2 linked regions of the Lytechinus pictus genome follow. The protein of the gene in region 1 interacts with the protein of each later gene in a biochemical or structural test. Links are inferred from orthologs where the notes say so. Each region holds a gene or a part of one and is shown on either strand. Other genes may lie near its edges.

Evidence for each region.
Region 2: the proteins of 1-phosphatidylinositol 4,5-bisphosphate phosphodiesterase gamma-1-like (region 1) and SH3 domain-binding protein 2-like form a complex in vitro, tested with the Homo sapiens proteins (2 studies listed by BioGRID, with this or other methods). The link is inferred for Lytechinus pictus from reciprocal best matches to the Homo sapiens genes PLCG1 and SH3BP2.

What each region holds. Positions count from the first base shown.
Region 1 is NC_087246.1:61,769,758-61,778,699, forward strand, and holds the start of 1-phosphatidylinositol 4,5-bisphosphate phosphodiesterase gamma-1-like, read right to left. Parts: upstream 3,651-8,942; 5' UTR 3,461-3,650; exon of another isoform or gene 3,449-3,460; intron 2,172-3,448; 5' UTR 2,072-2,171; coding exon 1,879-2,071; intron 1-1,878. UniProt on the Homo sapiens protein: Mediates the production of the second messenger molecules diacylglycerol (DAG) and inositol 1,4,5-trisphosphate (IP3). Plays an important role in the regulation of intracellular signaling cascades.
Region 2 is NC_087256.1:8,751,950-8,759,978, forward strand, and holds the start of SH3 domain-binding protein 2-like, read right to left. Parts: upstream 3,579-8,029; 5' UTR 2,407-3,578; coding exon 2,274-2,406; intron 1-2,273. UniProt on the Homo sapiens protein: Binds differentially to the SH3 domains of certain proteins of signal transduction pathways. Binds to phosphatidylinositols; linking the hemopoietic tyrosine kinase fes to the cytoplasmic membrane in a phosphorylation dependent mechanism.

The DNA of each region.
Region 1 (8,942 bases):
CAGTACACATTTTGAATATTCCCCAGACTAAAAAAGAACAATTTTGTGTCAGATATACCACTGGCATCTGGTGTCCAGAAGGGGGGGGGGGCCCTGGGGCCATTGCCTCCCCCATCCCATCCCTAAAAAAAAATCAAATACTAAGGGGGGAAGGAGTAGGGCAAGATATGTAATTTTCTGAATATTATATTAAAACCTATATTAACTCATAAAAGTAGATTTTCATTTTAAAAAGGTCAAATTTTGAACTTGCTCGCATTGCTCGCTCAGTATTTTTACTGCGCGTCATGTTGTGCCTCCTCAATTTTTTTTAGACACTATGCCAGATATATACAGAGAAGCCAACTTTCACAATGATTTTTCTGCAGAAAACTCAAAATCAAGAATAGATTCCCTTCAAGGGAACGGTAATCAAACAATAGCTGTTTCACGGTCCATAATCCAACATCATAGAAAATGCTAGTGTCAGAATATATGGATCATATCTTATTTGCTAAAATTATGTGTACTTCAGCTTGTATAATTCATATTCAATTTCTTTTTCTTTTCTCCTTCATCCATTTTCCCTCTTTCTTTTTGTTCCTCTTCTCCTTTCTCTCTTTGTTGTTCTTCTTCCTTCTCCTCTTCTCATTTCTCCCCTTCCCACCCCTGTTCACAGTGTATTCTTCTTTTGTTTTTCTTGACATGATATAAAAACAATGAATTTCAAATCAAAGCTTCAAAATTTGTGTTCTTTATATTATTATAATAGAATGCTAATCTATTATAGAGTTTTTAACATACGATATACAATTTACTTTTCAACTTATATTTCCTTGTGTAGTGTTATATTTTTGAACTTTGAAATTGGGAGTGTAAACTCCTCCCAATTTGACTATGCTGCGATGTTTTGTTTTTTTATCAATAAGCCCGGAGTGTGTGTATTTGAGTTTTGTCAGACGTGTATCAATCAGATATGATTATTTACGTCTGGGACCGACCTTTAATGTCACTGTCCGAAAGACGTGACCAGGGCATGAACCTCGAACCTCTGCATCAATTTGTAACTTCCCCACAGCTTGGATTACAGGCGCACGCCACAACGCCCAGTAAGCCCGGTAAGGGTTTTATAAAGCTGTTTATAAGTTACGGGCCACTTTGCAAATGACTAGTTATCCTTTCTTGTGGTAAATGAAATATACCAGATTTTCATTGGTCTTGATTTCGTTCCAACGATAGGGTCACCAGTCATTTGTAAAGTCGCTTTTAACTAAAAGGGGAATGAAACCTTTGGAACAAGTAAGCTTATGTCGAAACAGAAAATCAAAGAGTAAGAACAAAGAAAGTTTGAGAAAAATCGGACAAATAATGAGAAAGTTATGAGCATTTGAATATTGCAATCACTAATGCTATGGAGATCCTCCCATTGGCAATGCAACAAGGATGTGTGATGTCACATGTGAACAAATTTCCCTTTGATGGACTATGAAATACCCCCAAAATGATACAAACTCTTTATCCATGATGTATTCTTTAAAAATCTGTATTACATGCCCTCCTATAGAAAAAAAATTGATCTCCTGATAGATGTAATAAAAGATGCAGTTTAAGTGAAATATATACTAAAGTAATGAGGAGAGTTGTTCACAAGTGACATCACACATATTTGTCGCATTGCCAATGTGAGGATCTCCATAGTATTAGTGATCGCAATATTCAAATGCTCATAACTTTCTCATTATTTGTCCGATTTTCTCAAACTTTGATTGATCGTTTTCTTTTATTTTTCTGTTTTCACACAAGCTATCTTGTTCCAAAGGTTTCATTCTCCTTTAAGAATAGCTTTATGATTCTATAGATTCTATCTATGAAATATCAAAATTAATTTAGTTGACTCACTTGCTCCTTCAGTTCGTCCTCCCTGCCTCCTCCATACAACCTGCCTGGTCTCCATATTGACCTCAAAAGATTTACGCTCGGGTCTCTTGCGGCCATAAAAGCGGGTCAAGAGCGTACCAAGGGCCAGGTTGTGCTGCATGCTGTGTATGTCCTGTTCGGTTAGCTCCATGGTGCCGTTCTGTATCACCGCCATCTCCCAGCAGTCAACACCAATGACCCCTCAAGGATCCTCTGTCGTGCTCACCCGTCACAGCAGCAATGGCTGATTAAGATTCCCAAGCTCCACAAACAATCTACAAAGAACAAGAGAATGGAGAAGTTTTTTCTGAACCCTTTAGGACTATGTGCAAAATAATTAGACCAGTGTTTCACTAAGATTTAAAGTCACACTAGTCTTAAGTTACATTTAATGGACCTTTAAGCTTAATCAACATTATTTTTCCTAATGGAAAATCCACCAATTGAGTGGTATGCAGTTATGAGACTTTTCAGAATACCAAGTCTTGTAACTACTCAATTAAGCCTTTGCACAGTTGCAATGCATACTATTGAAATAAGTAAGGCAAGGGAGTGACTCTAACTTAACAAAAGCAAACTAATATTATTTAGAGACAGCTGAAATCCGTCTGTTTGGATTTTCTAATCTTTTTTTTCTTTTACTTTTTTACTTTCTCCCCCTACAGGCTACACAGGATAGCCATCATGCATGCAGTGTGAGGAACTAGTCCCCGTAGTCTATTGTTTTATTCCCTCCAACAAGGTTTTATAATTTTTCTTTATCTAACCTAAAATTTTGAATAGAAACTGTGCCAAGATGATGTCAATTGCCTTAATATAAATATCATGCTGGCCCAATTTATACATTAACTTTAAAGAAAATTTAAGCAGGGACTTACTTCACTTTAAATTATATGCTGTGGTCTTTTCATGCATAATATCTCAAGAATTCTCTTTTGGAGACCAAGCAGATTCAGGTATTTTTCAGGGTAAGCAATTTGTTTAGATTCTAATTAATATTATGTGAACTGTGACTTGTGTGAGAATTTTTTTCGTATTATTCACGGCTGATTTCAAAACATCGCATGCGATCGCGATCGGTTGCAGGTCAAACCGATCTCGATCGCATGCAATGTTTTGAAATCAGCCGTGAATAATACGTGTGAGGAAAAAGATACTGGCCCAAAAATCACCAATTTTGAGGATAATCGGAGGATGGACACGGAGTGAAATATGGATGAAGAGTAAGATATTAAGTTGTTTATCTTTCTCGTTATATTATTTTTCTTTAATTTTTACAATAAACATGATTTCCATCCCACCTTTGTGACTCAGAATGTCCGATCGAGTTCACTGTCTCGAAGTTCGGGTAGGTGGAGTGTAGTGTAGCGGTAGTGAAGTGGAGTGGAGCCTGCACGAACTTCGCTCGAGGTAACTTATTCACAAATCATGAAACACACACGTTCACTTCATCAATTAATCACATCGGATTATTTTACTTTTCTTGCGCTGGATTTGTAAATACTGCAGTTTCTTTAATATCAGAAACGATAAAAAATACAAAATGCCTTACCATATAACTTACTGTTGGCCTGAAACATTAGAATAATCAAGTTCAACACTATTTCCTAAAGTTGTATGACGGTGATACTGCAGAGTCTCACTTAGTCCTATTCGTATACAATTGTGTGGCGCTGGCCCAGCCTGTACTGTGTACTGTCTGGCCGTATATATTGTTTATCAAGTCTTACTTCCGTCTTACTCTTGGTTGAACTAAAGAGGGAGCTCAATGCGGTCAGTTCTACGAGTTTGTTGATCTGAGATTTCGGATGATAGAGGGGAGGGGGTATGGCCCTGGGAAGCGGGGGTGCACCCCCAAGATTTTCCCCAAGGGATGCTGCATGTATTATTTTCATTAGGCAGCACCCCCTGGAATTCTGGTAGGTGTGTAAAATTGGACAAATGTATGTAAAATGACCAACATTTTGTGTTGAAACCCTTTTGATTGTTTTTTGCTTGTCAAATGTTTTGGTACCAAAACGACCTTCAATTTAAAGTGAACCCCCTTTTTTTGTTTCTTTTCAAATTTACTTCAGCACCCCACCCCCAAAAAAAGTTGCCAGGGCCCTGGGAGGGGAAAGGAAAAGGGATTGAGGAACAAGAAAAGGAGAAAAGATGAAGAGGAATATGAAAAGGAAGAAGAAGAAACCAGAATAAGGAAAAGGCAGGACATTTCCTTGAAGAAAGTTTTATAGCAAGGTTTAGTAGGCGACCAGGCAAATAATTATGTCGGCTATTTACCACTTACCAATAAATTGCACACCGGGATTGCACAATATATTTTTGCTTACCGCATTAAATACTGTTATTGTGATAAAACAATTAACTATCACTTTGCGTCATTTTCATTTACCTAGTTTGATATCATGTGATGTTTGTCTGTCACTAAAAGAAAGTTTTATATATCTTTTGACAAACTTCGATTGTGATTACTCCCATCCATCCACCTCCTTGCCCTTTCATAACCTTCATGGGGCCGATTGGGCCCCCCCCCCCCCCCGAAAAAAGGGGGAAGGGAAAGGAGGGGAGAAAAGTAAGGAGAAAGGCGAAAGAAGGGAGGGAGAGAAGGGAATGAAAAAGAATGGGGGGAGAGGAATGAGAGAAAGAAAAAAATGGAAAGGGGCCTCACCCCCCCCCCCCGAAAAAAAAAAGGAGAGAAGGGTAAGAAGAAGTGGATGAGAATTTGGGAAAGGAAAGGAGGAAGTGAAAGTGAAGATGGGGAAAAAGAGGCCGTGCCGAAAAGACCTTGCAGCATTAAAGAAATAACGAAGATAGAAAAGGAAAAACACAAAACAAACAATTGAGTACAGGAACGTAACTAAAAGTAATTTTTTTACTGAAAAAATGTGAATCTAGGACTTTTAAAGCCCTAGCGGCCTCTTTTACAAAATTAAATAGATTGACGAGGGAAATAGAGAGCTGTAGGTGGACCCGGGGGCTGAAGCAACCACTGCCCCATACTGGCAGCGAAAACAAAGGGAGAAAAGGAAAAGAAGAAGACCAAGGGTGGAGGAACGAAAAGTAAGGGAAGGATAATGAAAAGAAGAGGAATAAAGGATAAAAAGGGGGTATGAGAGGGCAAGATTTGGCAAATAGCAAACCTTGACACCATTAAAAAAAAAACGATCGCGCTTCGGACTGCTTCTTCTTCTTCTTTTTTGTCTCCTTTACCCTTTTACCTCCGTTTTGGCCCAGTTGAGGGGAAGATATGCAGTGCGCATTTTGTCCACAGGCCTCCCCCTTTAATTTTTTCCCTTTTCATTCTTTGTCCTTTTTTGAATGCGGTTTGAGAGTGAAGGATAGTGTCGATCCCGGCCTCATTTTCTCCCTCTCTATTCATTCGTCTTTTTTCCACCCCTTCTCCTTCCTTTCCTTCTAATTCTCTACTTATATGTTATAACAGGAGGCAATGGCTTCCATTCTCTCATTTTGCGAGAAAAAAGTTTCAACTGTTCTACTTTCCTATCACACTTACCGTTCGGCACATTTTTGATTTTTTTTTTTAAATTTCTTTATTTCGTTTTCTCTTTCTCCCTCTTACTATCTTTCTTGTTTAGGAACAAGGCCATTCTGACCCCAGATTTTAATCCTCCCTCCCCATTCGCCTCTTTTTTTTTTTAATTGGGTAAAGGGGTTGCAGGGCCGTTCGCTACAGCCCTTCCCCTCATCAATAATTTATCTCTCCCTCTTTCCTGTTATCTCTTTCACTTTCCCCACTCTCTGTTTTACTGTGGGAGGGGGGGGGGTAAAGGGACTCACCCCTCCCCCTTGATACTTAAGGCATTGATGTGTCTTGGCTGATTCTTGACACCAGGGTTTCTGTATTATTTTGTGTGTATATTTGGTTTATATTCACTTAATCTAATACCATTTTGGTCAAACCTACTTTCTACTATCAATATTGTTCTATACAATCCTTGGCCTAACAGTTATTTGCCACTTAGTCAAATGAAAAAAAGTTCATGAAAAGTTCATCTATAAACACTAGATGGGGCTAGGCCAAGTGGAAATTAGTTAATGTGACCGTTAGTGAAGCAAAGAATTTCTAATAAAAAACATGGGCCAGATTTCAAAAAAATATATAAAAAACAAAAATTTTATGATCAAATTACTTTTAGCCGATTAAATAGCAAGGTTTAGGTAACCAACAACAGTAGCTTGTATCTTGCACTCAATAAGAAGCTTCACTGGCTCCAGATTTTTCATCTAACCTTTTTTAACTTAATTAATCAACTTTTACTAAAAACTACTGGTTTTTTTTTCTTCTTCTTCTACATTACCAAATACTGGGATTAATTTTTCAAGTATTCCTGGGATGCTAAATAGGCAACAACAAAGACATTCACATCTTGTACATATGAGATCATCTCAACATATTAACATATTTAATTTAATCTGAGTGAATACATACAGTAGTCGTGTTTACATAGAGAAGTAGCTGTACAGGAAACGTATGGCAACTAAGTTTCACAAGGTAAATTTCCTTTAAAGTAAGGAGAACGATGGATGGAGTATCATACATCAAGAAAAAAAAAACAGACAAGAAATTTTTTTTTTTAAAGCAATGGGCCCTAGATGAAGATTACATGAGATAAACCTTGTCTGTGGACTCAATATCCTTAATTCTGGGGGGGGGGAAATCATTTTCAAAAGAAAAAAAAAGTAAATAAAAATTCAAAAATTAAGTTGTTTGTACCACATACAAAACATAATCCAAATAAACTGATATATTTATGCTTATTTGTAAAAAAAATCACTATTTAAACATACAAATGAATAAATATAAACAAATAAATGAATAAATATATAAATAAATATAAATAAACAAATAAGGAGTTAATTAAATAAATACAAAAACACATAATAAAATAGATAAATGAACATTTAATCAAAGGTGTTCTCTAAGTATGCATGTGCAATTTGCATACATTGTCTACTTTACTTAGTAGACAGAAGTTTATTTCTCATCCATGGTTTAATTAAAGGGATGGTCCGGGCTGAAAGTATTTATAGCTTAATAAATAGAGTAGAATTCACTGAGCAAAATGCCAAAAATTTCATCAAAATCGGATAACAAATAACAAAGTAATTGAATTTTAAAGTTTAGCAATATTTGGGGAAAACAGTCATCATGAATATTCATTAGGTGGGCTGATGATGTCACATCTCCACTTGTTCTTTTGTATTTTATTATATGAAATGAGGTTTATTCAATTTTTTTCCTCCAAGAAGTAGACAAATTGGAATGACAACTGATTTAGTGCATTAGATATTTATTGATGCAACTTATTTCATTATAAGGGAGACATATTATTCACACAAGTATGAAATAATGAAAAAATTATGATTTTATGTAATAACATAAGAAAACGGAAAGTGGAGATGTGACATCATCAGCCCACCTAATGAATATTCATGACGACTGTTTTCACAAAATATTGCAAAACTTTAAACTTCAATAACTTTATTATTTGTTATCCGATTTTGATGAAATTTTCGGCATTTTGCTCGGTGAATTCTACTCTATGTATTAAGATATAAATATTTTCAGCCCGGACCATCCCTTTAAGGGGGAACAAACTGACCCAACAATGTCTGTGGTCTCTCATTGTCTGTGTGTTATAAACAGCTAATCTTAAAATATTCATTTTTATTTATTTTGTTGATAATATTAATAAAGATCATAAATTGGCCTTTAAATCTTATTTCTGTAGAGAAACTTAGAAAGTTTTTTTGAGAGGAAAGGTAACGCACTTAATCGCTTCTTGGCAACTTGATTATTGTGGTATACATGTATTGAGTATCATATTGGTGTGGTAGCATTCAAGTGGACCTATTTTACAAGACTTCACTGTTATGTTGCATTATGGGTCAGGAACCAGGCCAGATTTGAGTAGTTGAGAACTTGAGGTGGTGCTATACAAGGCTGCTGGTTCGTATTTGGTTTGAAACATTAATATGGAGAAAGTTCTGGTTGAATTAACAAGTATACATACAGTGGTGCGAAAAAGTTAGTGAACCCAACCAGAAAATGAACATATTTCAAGTGTTCAAGTTCTGCCATGTTTTATATATTTAATGGTGAAGTTAGGTGATAAAATATTACATTCAATAAAGTTTGTTTCTCTGTGCTCGCCGAACATTGTGGTGTTGCTGTCTCCATTTAACACTCAGCATGAAGGAGTGCATTTTCTGGTGGGTTCACTAACTTTATAGCACCACTGTAAATTCAAATTTCGAGCAGGTTTCCAGAAAATGCCGAATGGATTTTACTACAATTATATTCAGGCTTACGTGTATGCATTTGGTATCAGCAGGGCATGTCACTTAAGCAAGATATCATCAATGTGATAATGTATCATTTGGCATACAAAACTGTGAATTTAGGTGAAACCAAATGTTTATGATAATCTTAATTTTTTAGTTTATAATAAATGTCTTTCTAGTACAGCACATACTATATCATGTTACCATCTAAATGTATCAATTGTGGTAGGGTCCATGGTGAAACACACCCCAAGGTCCTATTACATAAAGACTCGTTATAATAATCTGGGGGGGGGGGGTGCTTCACAAAGATTTAATTATGACTTAGGTCGCACTTAAATGCTGACGCGTACATGATATGCAACGCGCAATCTCATTGATCAATACGCAGTAGTGCGCGTCCTCTTGCCATGATCTGATCAATACTGTCATGTCTTTTATACTACGCACAACTAGACATTGAAGTGCGACCCTAAGTCATACTTAAATCTTGTGAAACACCCCCCTGGTTATTTAAAATGCTCTAAGATATATGGCACATTGAACATATCTAAGCACTTATAGATTTATTATTCATCATATTCAATCATTTTCCGCACACCATGTATTATGCACATCCTCCACTCCCTGTGGAGTATTCCAGCCAGTCGCCCATGAGGCACACACAATGCTGGACAAGATACAATGACATTCACATCCTACTGGGTACCTATTTAACACCTGGGTAGAGAGTGGCAAAG
Region 2 (8,029 bases), on another chromosome or scaffold:
ATCGTTCCTCCAAACTATTAAAAACTCATTTGCCAACCATCCTGTGTGCTTTACTTCACTGAATCATTTACCAGGAAATTCTAGCTCCTTGAAGCATGGCATCACTATGATATTGAACACTAATTATTCTATTCAGATCTTTGCTTGAGATTTCACCAAAAAACAAAATAGTTACCTTTCTTCTCTTCTCCTTGTTTTGTTAAATGATTCATTCTGCTCAGCCCACTCTTAAAGGCAGGCATGTAGGTCGTATTTAAACAAATTTGAATTTGATTCATGTTACGATACTGCTCATATGGGTGTAAAAATCACCCAGGAAGAAAAAAAAAATCAAATTTGAGCAGACTCTTTCAAGATATCTGTGACTGAAAAATCATAAATTTCACCAAACCTCCTCTTTGGAGATTAATAGTATGTTCGTGTATGGGATGAAATTAAGATGGTGTATTCAGTCAGTTATATATTTCACTTTTTTCCACTAAGATTTTTTTGGGGGCTTCATTTTTATAACATCACAGTCGACAGTCGGACCTTGTAGCTTGGATGTTGAAAGTCAAAATGTTAGGCTATAAGACTTTTGCCTTAAATTGCTCATTTTTGCAGAGGATAGCTGAATCAAAAGATGAAGAAAAATTGAGAAGAAAAATGTTCTCCTCTTTTACCAAACGTTGGTGCACTGTTTGATTTCAGGAAATAAAAAGAATATCTAAACTAATATTGGTCTCATATTCATTGCTTTAATTAGAGTTGTGGCTTTTTATCTCAACAATAATTAAGTAGCTATAAATTGGCATCCTTCAGTGCTATGATACAATCAAGTTGCACATGAATAGGATCTACACTGTACATGTAAATTGACTATACCCACATCTACTGGTGTACAGATGGTTGAGGGCTTGGGGCACTTGCCCTATCCCTTCAAAAGTTCTATGACTGAGAAAAAGAAATAAATGAAATAAAATAAAGGGAAACAAGGAAAAAAAAGGAAATGAAAGAGAAAATTGTCAACTATGAAATCCTTAACTGGAATTTATGTTACAATCTGTCACAAAATTAGATTCTCATTTTCAAAAGGTTAGAGTATTTAGAAATAGCCCCCATACGCCATATACTACCTCTTCAAAACTTGTCATTTGAAATACAAATTACTATTGATCTGAGTCACGCCAAATTACGTGTATCCCAATGTTTGCACTGGTAATCAAAACAAAGATGGCTTTTAGAAACAAAATAAACATGAGAGCAAGTTCAAAATTGTCTGATTATCTATTGATTAAATGAATTACAGCACAGTATTAAACAAAGCCATTGCCCTTTGGACCATGTGGCAGGTATGGTTTGTTGGGATGATCAATCGATCTGATGGTTTCTACCAAGCTTGATAGCTTCTGTCTTTAATATATGTATGCCACTATGCCTGTGCTAAATATTATCCAATAAAGCCTATTACTTCTACAATTACTTCTGCCACTCCAAACCCCTTACTGTCTTCCTCTTTCCCTGCTAGGCTTCTTCTTAATAATTTTTTATTTTTTCTACTCCCAATCCTCATACTCCTCCTAATCAGCCCCCACTGCCTTGTTCTTTCCCTTTATCTTCTACATTTCCTCCTCCTTCTTCTTCTCCTCCTCCTCCTTCATCTCCTTTCTGCTTAGACCTTCTCCTTCTTCTCCTCCTTTGTCTTCTTCCTCTTGCACTTCTTCTTCTCCTCTTCCTCCTTTGTCTTCTCCTCCTTCTTCACCCCCCAGCCTCTTCTACACACTGTTGCTACCACGGCACTACTTCTACTGCTACGTACTTCTTCCTATTATTATTATAATGACTATTTCTTATACCACTATGTCTGATCATCTACTACTCCTACCACCTTTATTACTACTACTAGGACTAATATTTACTACTAGTACTTCTACTAATACTTATACTACAACCATTACTATACCACCACCTTCATTACAAGCACTGGCATAATCAAGCAGCAAACCTATTCTTCAGGGCTGGGGGGGGGGGGGTGACACAATAGTTGACCCCCCCTTGAATAGTATGACATCATGTACATCATGTATTTACACATGTGACTACAAGTATCACCACCACCACTTCTTCTTCTACTACTCTTTTCTTCTTCCACTTTTTGACTTACTACTGCTACTACCACTACCACTACCTCTACTTAATCTACTTTATACAACTAGATAGGTTTCTACTACTACTTCTACTACTACTACTACTACTTCTACTACTATTAAACTAATATTACTACTGCGTCATACTTGTTCTCTTGAGTATATCCATCGTTGATGATCCTTGGATCTCCGCATTCACGTAGGGTGGATCGCACTTTGGTTCATCTTCCACGTCGTCCCCTTGATCGGGATCTAGATCTAAATAATAACCTTGCTCCATTTTCCGTCTTCAGCCATCCAGGTTCATGGCAGACAGGAAGACATGACAATATGATCCATCACAAAATCACTTCATTTATCTAACAGTTCCATTATTAGTCAGAACAAAACCAACCTCCATGCATCCTCGCTTCCGCTTGCAAAATATGTGATCCTCAAGAACTTGTGGAGATATTAAATGTTTTAAAAATTATCAAGCTTTGGAGAGCCTTTTAGAGGGTCTTTGCTCTTCAGTATAGACCATGGAGGACTTTGGATACAGAGGTATCAGTTCCTACAGTACATGTAGTTGAGATTATATCGCGCAATAAGTATCCAATCTTGGTTATTATAAAGTCAGGTGAATTGAAACTTGCAATGTTGGAAAAAAAATGTCAATCACTTGATCGAAATTAGCAAAACTGATGATGTCACATGACAACAGACAGTACTTTGTTCTCGATGCACTTGACATAAGTTGATGAGACATCTAAGTGATTTTGTTCTATAATAGTTCACTAGCTGATCTGTTTCTTCAATGTACACAAAACATGAGTTTTACAGGGAGTAGAAAGTTCCATCTACATGTAAGAGCAGAGATTGTTCTTACTCTTAGATACTAAAATCCAACAAAATTGTCCATCATAGTATTCAAAACCAGTCTAATTGCTCAGAAGAAGGATATCCATAAACGTGCTAACCTCTTCATACGGCAGTACACAGATCAACTGTGAACCTGAAGCAATTATCAAAACCAGCAAACACCCGGTTGTGACCCCTGATACGATGGAAGGTCCCGTGTCACCTTTTACGCCTCTTTCAGCTGCCACATGAAACTTCACATGTTCTAACAGCAATCAATCTCAGATCATCTCTGGTGCATGATGAACTGGGAGAAGATAAAATCCCCATACAAAGGAATTTCCACAGGTCGATTCCTCACAAAAAAATCAAATTTGAATACATCCCATTTGTAATATATATCAAACTATTCAACAGGTACTTTGCTTTACAGGCGATATACAGATATATCACCCTACTTCCATGTGGTCTCCATGAACTTGCACTCATCCATGTATAAACTACCGGGATACAATATTAATAGATAATACACCTCCAGGAACATTGAATAAAATAATCCAGCTGCATGCATGTATAATGGAAAAGGAATGCCAATTTATACACAGGAAGTACAGTTCAAAATTTCATCGTGATATCAAGGTCCAAGGTTTTATGAGACCTGTCCTAGTGGGAAAACCCCACCTACATACTGTATTTCAACAACCCAGCGATCATTTTCTTCCTCCTCACTGATATCTTTTGAATTAGATATTATTAAGGTCGTTAAAACTTTGATTAGACATACATTAGTCACAAATTCAGGATATGGTCAAGTGTTTTCCAATCAAGAATTACTCATTAATGATATGTGAATTGGAAGAAACTGAGATACAGGCATACAGAAGACCCCAACACTGAAAGTATAGCTCTGTGCATTGATCTTCATTAACACACTGACTTCACAATTCTGTGATTACCATATGCTTTGAACAGCAACCATCCGTTTCCAGGAGGCAATGACTTAAAAAGCAAAAGATGAAACTGTAAAATGAGACAAAAATCTCTCACATACAATTTGAGCTGCATAAAAACCACAAGTGCTTTAATTAGCATCATAGAAACTAAGTGAAATCTAATTCAATTTTTATCTTTTACTTGTACATACAACCTGTACATGTATGTAAAGTTAAAGGCCGATAATTTATGATCAAGTCTACATATACAGTACATGCAAAAATGATTTTTAAAACTTAAAGATAGTTATGTGTACAAACATGAACTATGGCTTCTATAATAGCCTGTTAAGATAAAAATCTCGAAACTCAAATAAAGCAATGTCAAATACAAATAAATTTAAGATTGATCAGAGCATTCATTTTCTTTGACAAGTTCTAGTTTGAACTGACTGATGCTCAAATTATTAGTTATTGTGTTTTTTTTTAAATAACTTTCCATCATGTATCATGTTTATAGTCAGTGTTCAATATTAAAGTTTTGGAAAAGCTATTTGGCTTACTTCATAATGAGTTTTGGGAAAAAATACAAAATCCCAGTCAGGGACGGATCCAGGATTTGCCAAAGGGGGGGGGGGGGGGGACACATTTCCAGAGGAAAATTTGACAAGCAAAAAAAAGCTTAGTATTTTTCAATAAATCTAAATTATTTTGGAATAGCTCATTCATTTGGTATCTACATGTAATTTGATTTAGAATATGGCTATGTATATTGTAGCATTTTTTACAGCTTTCCAATATGTTTCAGTAAATGAAGATGTATAATTTTTCTTTATACATATAGAAATTAGCATTACCATTTCAGTGTTTTAAATTGTGTATGTGAACGAATTATAAAAGATATAAAGAACTTTCACACCTTCCCAATCTGGAAAATACATTACAAGATCTTTGACGCCCCAAATTTTGCTTTAACAATATATTTCACAGATTCACACCCCAGACGTTTTCACAATTCATGGAACTACATCAAGGAATGTGTATTTGTGTGTAAGAAAGTGCATTCTTCCTATAAATATTCTGAGAATTAGACCTTAAAATTGTCACTGCTAACTTGGAGAAAATTTTCATTTTTTAAGAGGTACTGTATACATGTACTAATTTATCTATTATCTACAGGTACAAGTAGCGTTGTTCACTCTGACAAGATATCAGGTATTTTTCTTGTCATGGAGGTGTGAAATCACCTACATGTATGACTGAATGGAACCAAATTCCTTTGTGGGAATCTGATGGGTAAATTTTGCTAAAATTTGGCCCTATAGCTCAAATATTTAAAAAGGGCGGTGCCAGTTATCAAAATAACTAGGAGGGAGGCAGGGCATCATGGTCTAGTGGTTCTAACTCTTGTCTTTCAATGCAAGGTTTGTGGGTTCAAAATCAAATTCATGCCATGATGTGTTTTCTTTCAAAAAAGAAATTTACCCACATTATGCTGCATCCATGTGAGGTAAATGGGGACCTGGCAGGATTGATTCCTTGAATACACATGTGCTACAAACAGCAACTTGAGCTTATACTCCAGGGTAATGATAATAGTGCCCATCAAAAAGATTATTTCTAGATTGATAGCACTACATAAATGACTATTACTATTGTTATGATTATAATACATTTAAGAGTAAATAAAATAAAGACTTTTGACTGATATATCAAGAATTAATTTATTGCAATTCCTGTGTGTGAAATCTCTTCATGTATTTCATTCGCAATGGTTTGACTTTTGAATGTCTCCAAATAGGAAATAATTTGGGAAGAAGACTGCACTGCTTAGAATGTTGCATTATGGGTAAGAAACATGGCCAGTATCGAGTAGTAGGGGACTTGAGTCGGTGCTATACAAAGCTGCTGGTTTGTATTGCTTTAATCTTTGGGTATATGGGTTGAATTAGACATATTTTTCCTGTTGATCTGTAGCAAAAAGACTTTTATGAAAGGATCAGAAGATTAAAATTTGTTTTTGTTTATCTTATCAATTATTGTTCATATTAGGATTTTGCTCAATCAATCAATCAATCATGCTCATAATGACGTCAAAGAAGGCTTCTATAATACAACTTGGAACATGTGCTCAGAAGTTGATACATATTCACAAGGTCAATTTTTGCACTACTTTTTGCAAAAACCTAATATAGAATTCAGCAGAACTTGACTAAAATTGCAAGAATGAGCTCCTGGATGATAGCAAAATATTGCTTTGAATCTTGAATCATGATTCTTTCATTTGTGCATTTCAAAATTTCATGTGCCACCAATGATCATGGCTATGGGGTCGAACGCTTTTTCCTTAGACATTAAGATGGTAAATTGCCCATTCTTCTACTACCAACTCGTCCACTCACCACACGGTCTACTTTCATTTAGTCTCATGCCATTCCGTCCACCAACATTTTTCTAACAACCATTTGGTCCAATCACCACTTTGTCTAATCACCATTTCGTCCACGACCATTTTGTCTAATAACCAGTTGGTCTAATTTCATTTTCATTCATATTGCACAATCAACACTCTAGTCCAATTAGACCAAATGGTATATGGACTAAATGGCTATTGGACCAACTGGTTATTAGACGGATTGGCATTAGACTAAATGAAAGTAGACCATGTGGTGAGTGGACAAACTGATGGTAGACCAAATGATAGAAGACGAGTTGGCAATTGGACGAATTGGAAATAAACCTACAAGATTGCATGGACAGTGAGTGAGAATTGAAAAATTACATTAATATTTAACTGAATTAATAATTCTGAAGCACGGAAGAATCAGGTTCAACTGTAGTATCCAAGGGCCTTTTCACACGTGAATCTTGATTCATCATAGTAATGATGACTGCAGTTTGTCTTTAGAATCATTGGACCTTTCACACATACAATTTGTACCATAATTTGAGTGAAACTTAACTGGAATTCACAATTCACCAATTTGAATTCATGATTGTGATTAATAGCGTTCGTGATTTTAGTTTGGTTTTACACGTGCTAAAAATTCGTCATTAGCTTGATTTTTCACTGGAATCATCATTCAAATTACAATTTTTTTACCTCGTGAAAGGGACAGTAAATGAAGTTTGTAATCATTTTGAAAGAGAGGAACAATGTGATTAATGCATGGTTTTGAGTACACTGTGCTTAACTAATCACTCAAGAATATTAAACACAAATGAGTGATGTCATAGTAAGGGCACACTTTTATGTATATGTAAATATAATACACAGGAATTTGCTTGAAAACACTCTAAATTCAAATTAATGACATCTACTTACTGATGTTTTCAAGACCTTCCCTGGAGTGTAGACACGATTCTGATGTCGTTCTCTGGAGGGGTTGTAGGTGAAGGCTTGTTGGGAAGTTGATGCTGATCATCGACTCCCTACCCGTTTTCCAAGCCATAGTGTGGTCGCCTCTCTCTCTGATAAAACTCTTTCTGGTTTTAGAAACCTTATGCTCTTGTACAGGTGGCAATCACAATGTAGACCCTAGCCAGCCAATGCCAGTCTGCTACATCCCTGTAACCAATCAAACATTCTTGAATCTGATTAACTGCATTTTAAGGAAAAGGAAAGTAGTTGCAGTAAACAATTATTTCATGAGAAAGTTTTTTAAATCAAGGTTAACTGTCACTATATTATCATATATCTAGATCTGGTACATCAATCTAAACCTATCTTTGTGAAATCATGAAATCTTAGCTCAAAACTGACAATTCTGATGCTCATCAACACAGAAATAGCATGTGTGGGACAGTGTATTAATATTGCTTGGGAAAATACCAAACATTTGATGGAATTCCATACTTATTTTGCTCATTTCTCAGTAATTACGCATTTTCTTCCAGAGAGCTATTTGGCACATATTTTTTATTTATTACATACAAAAACTTGGGTGGTAATTTTATTGGATTCTGTTCGAACTCATTTTGAGATCGTTACCACAACTGGTATTTATCTTTAAAATAATATGGATGAAAACAACTTCATATTATAATTTGTTAAATTATTAGCTTCAAAATAAATAGTGTTATTCATTTCAACAATATATACACACAAAGTTGAGTATGATGGTGAGGTTA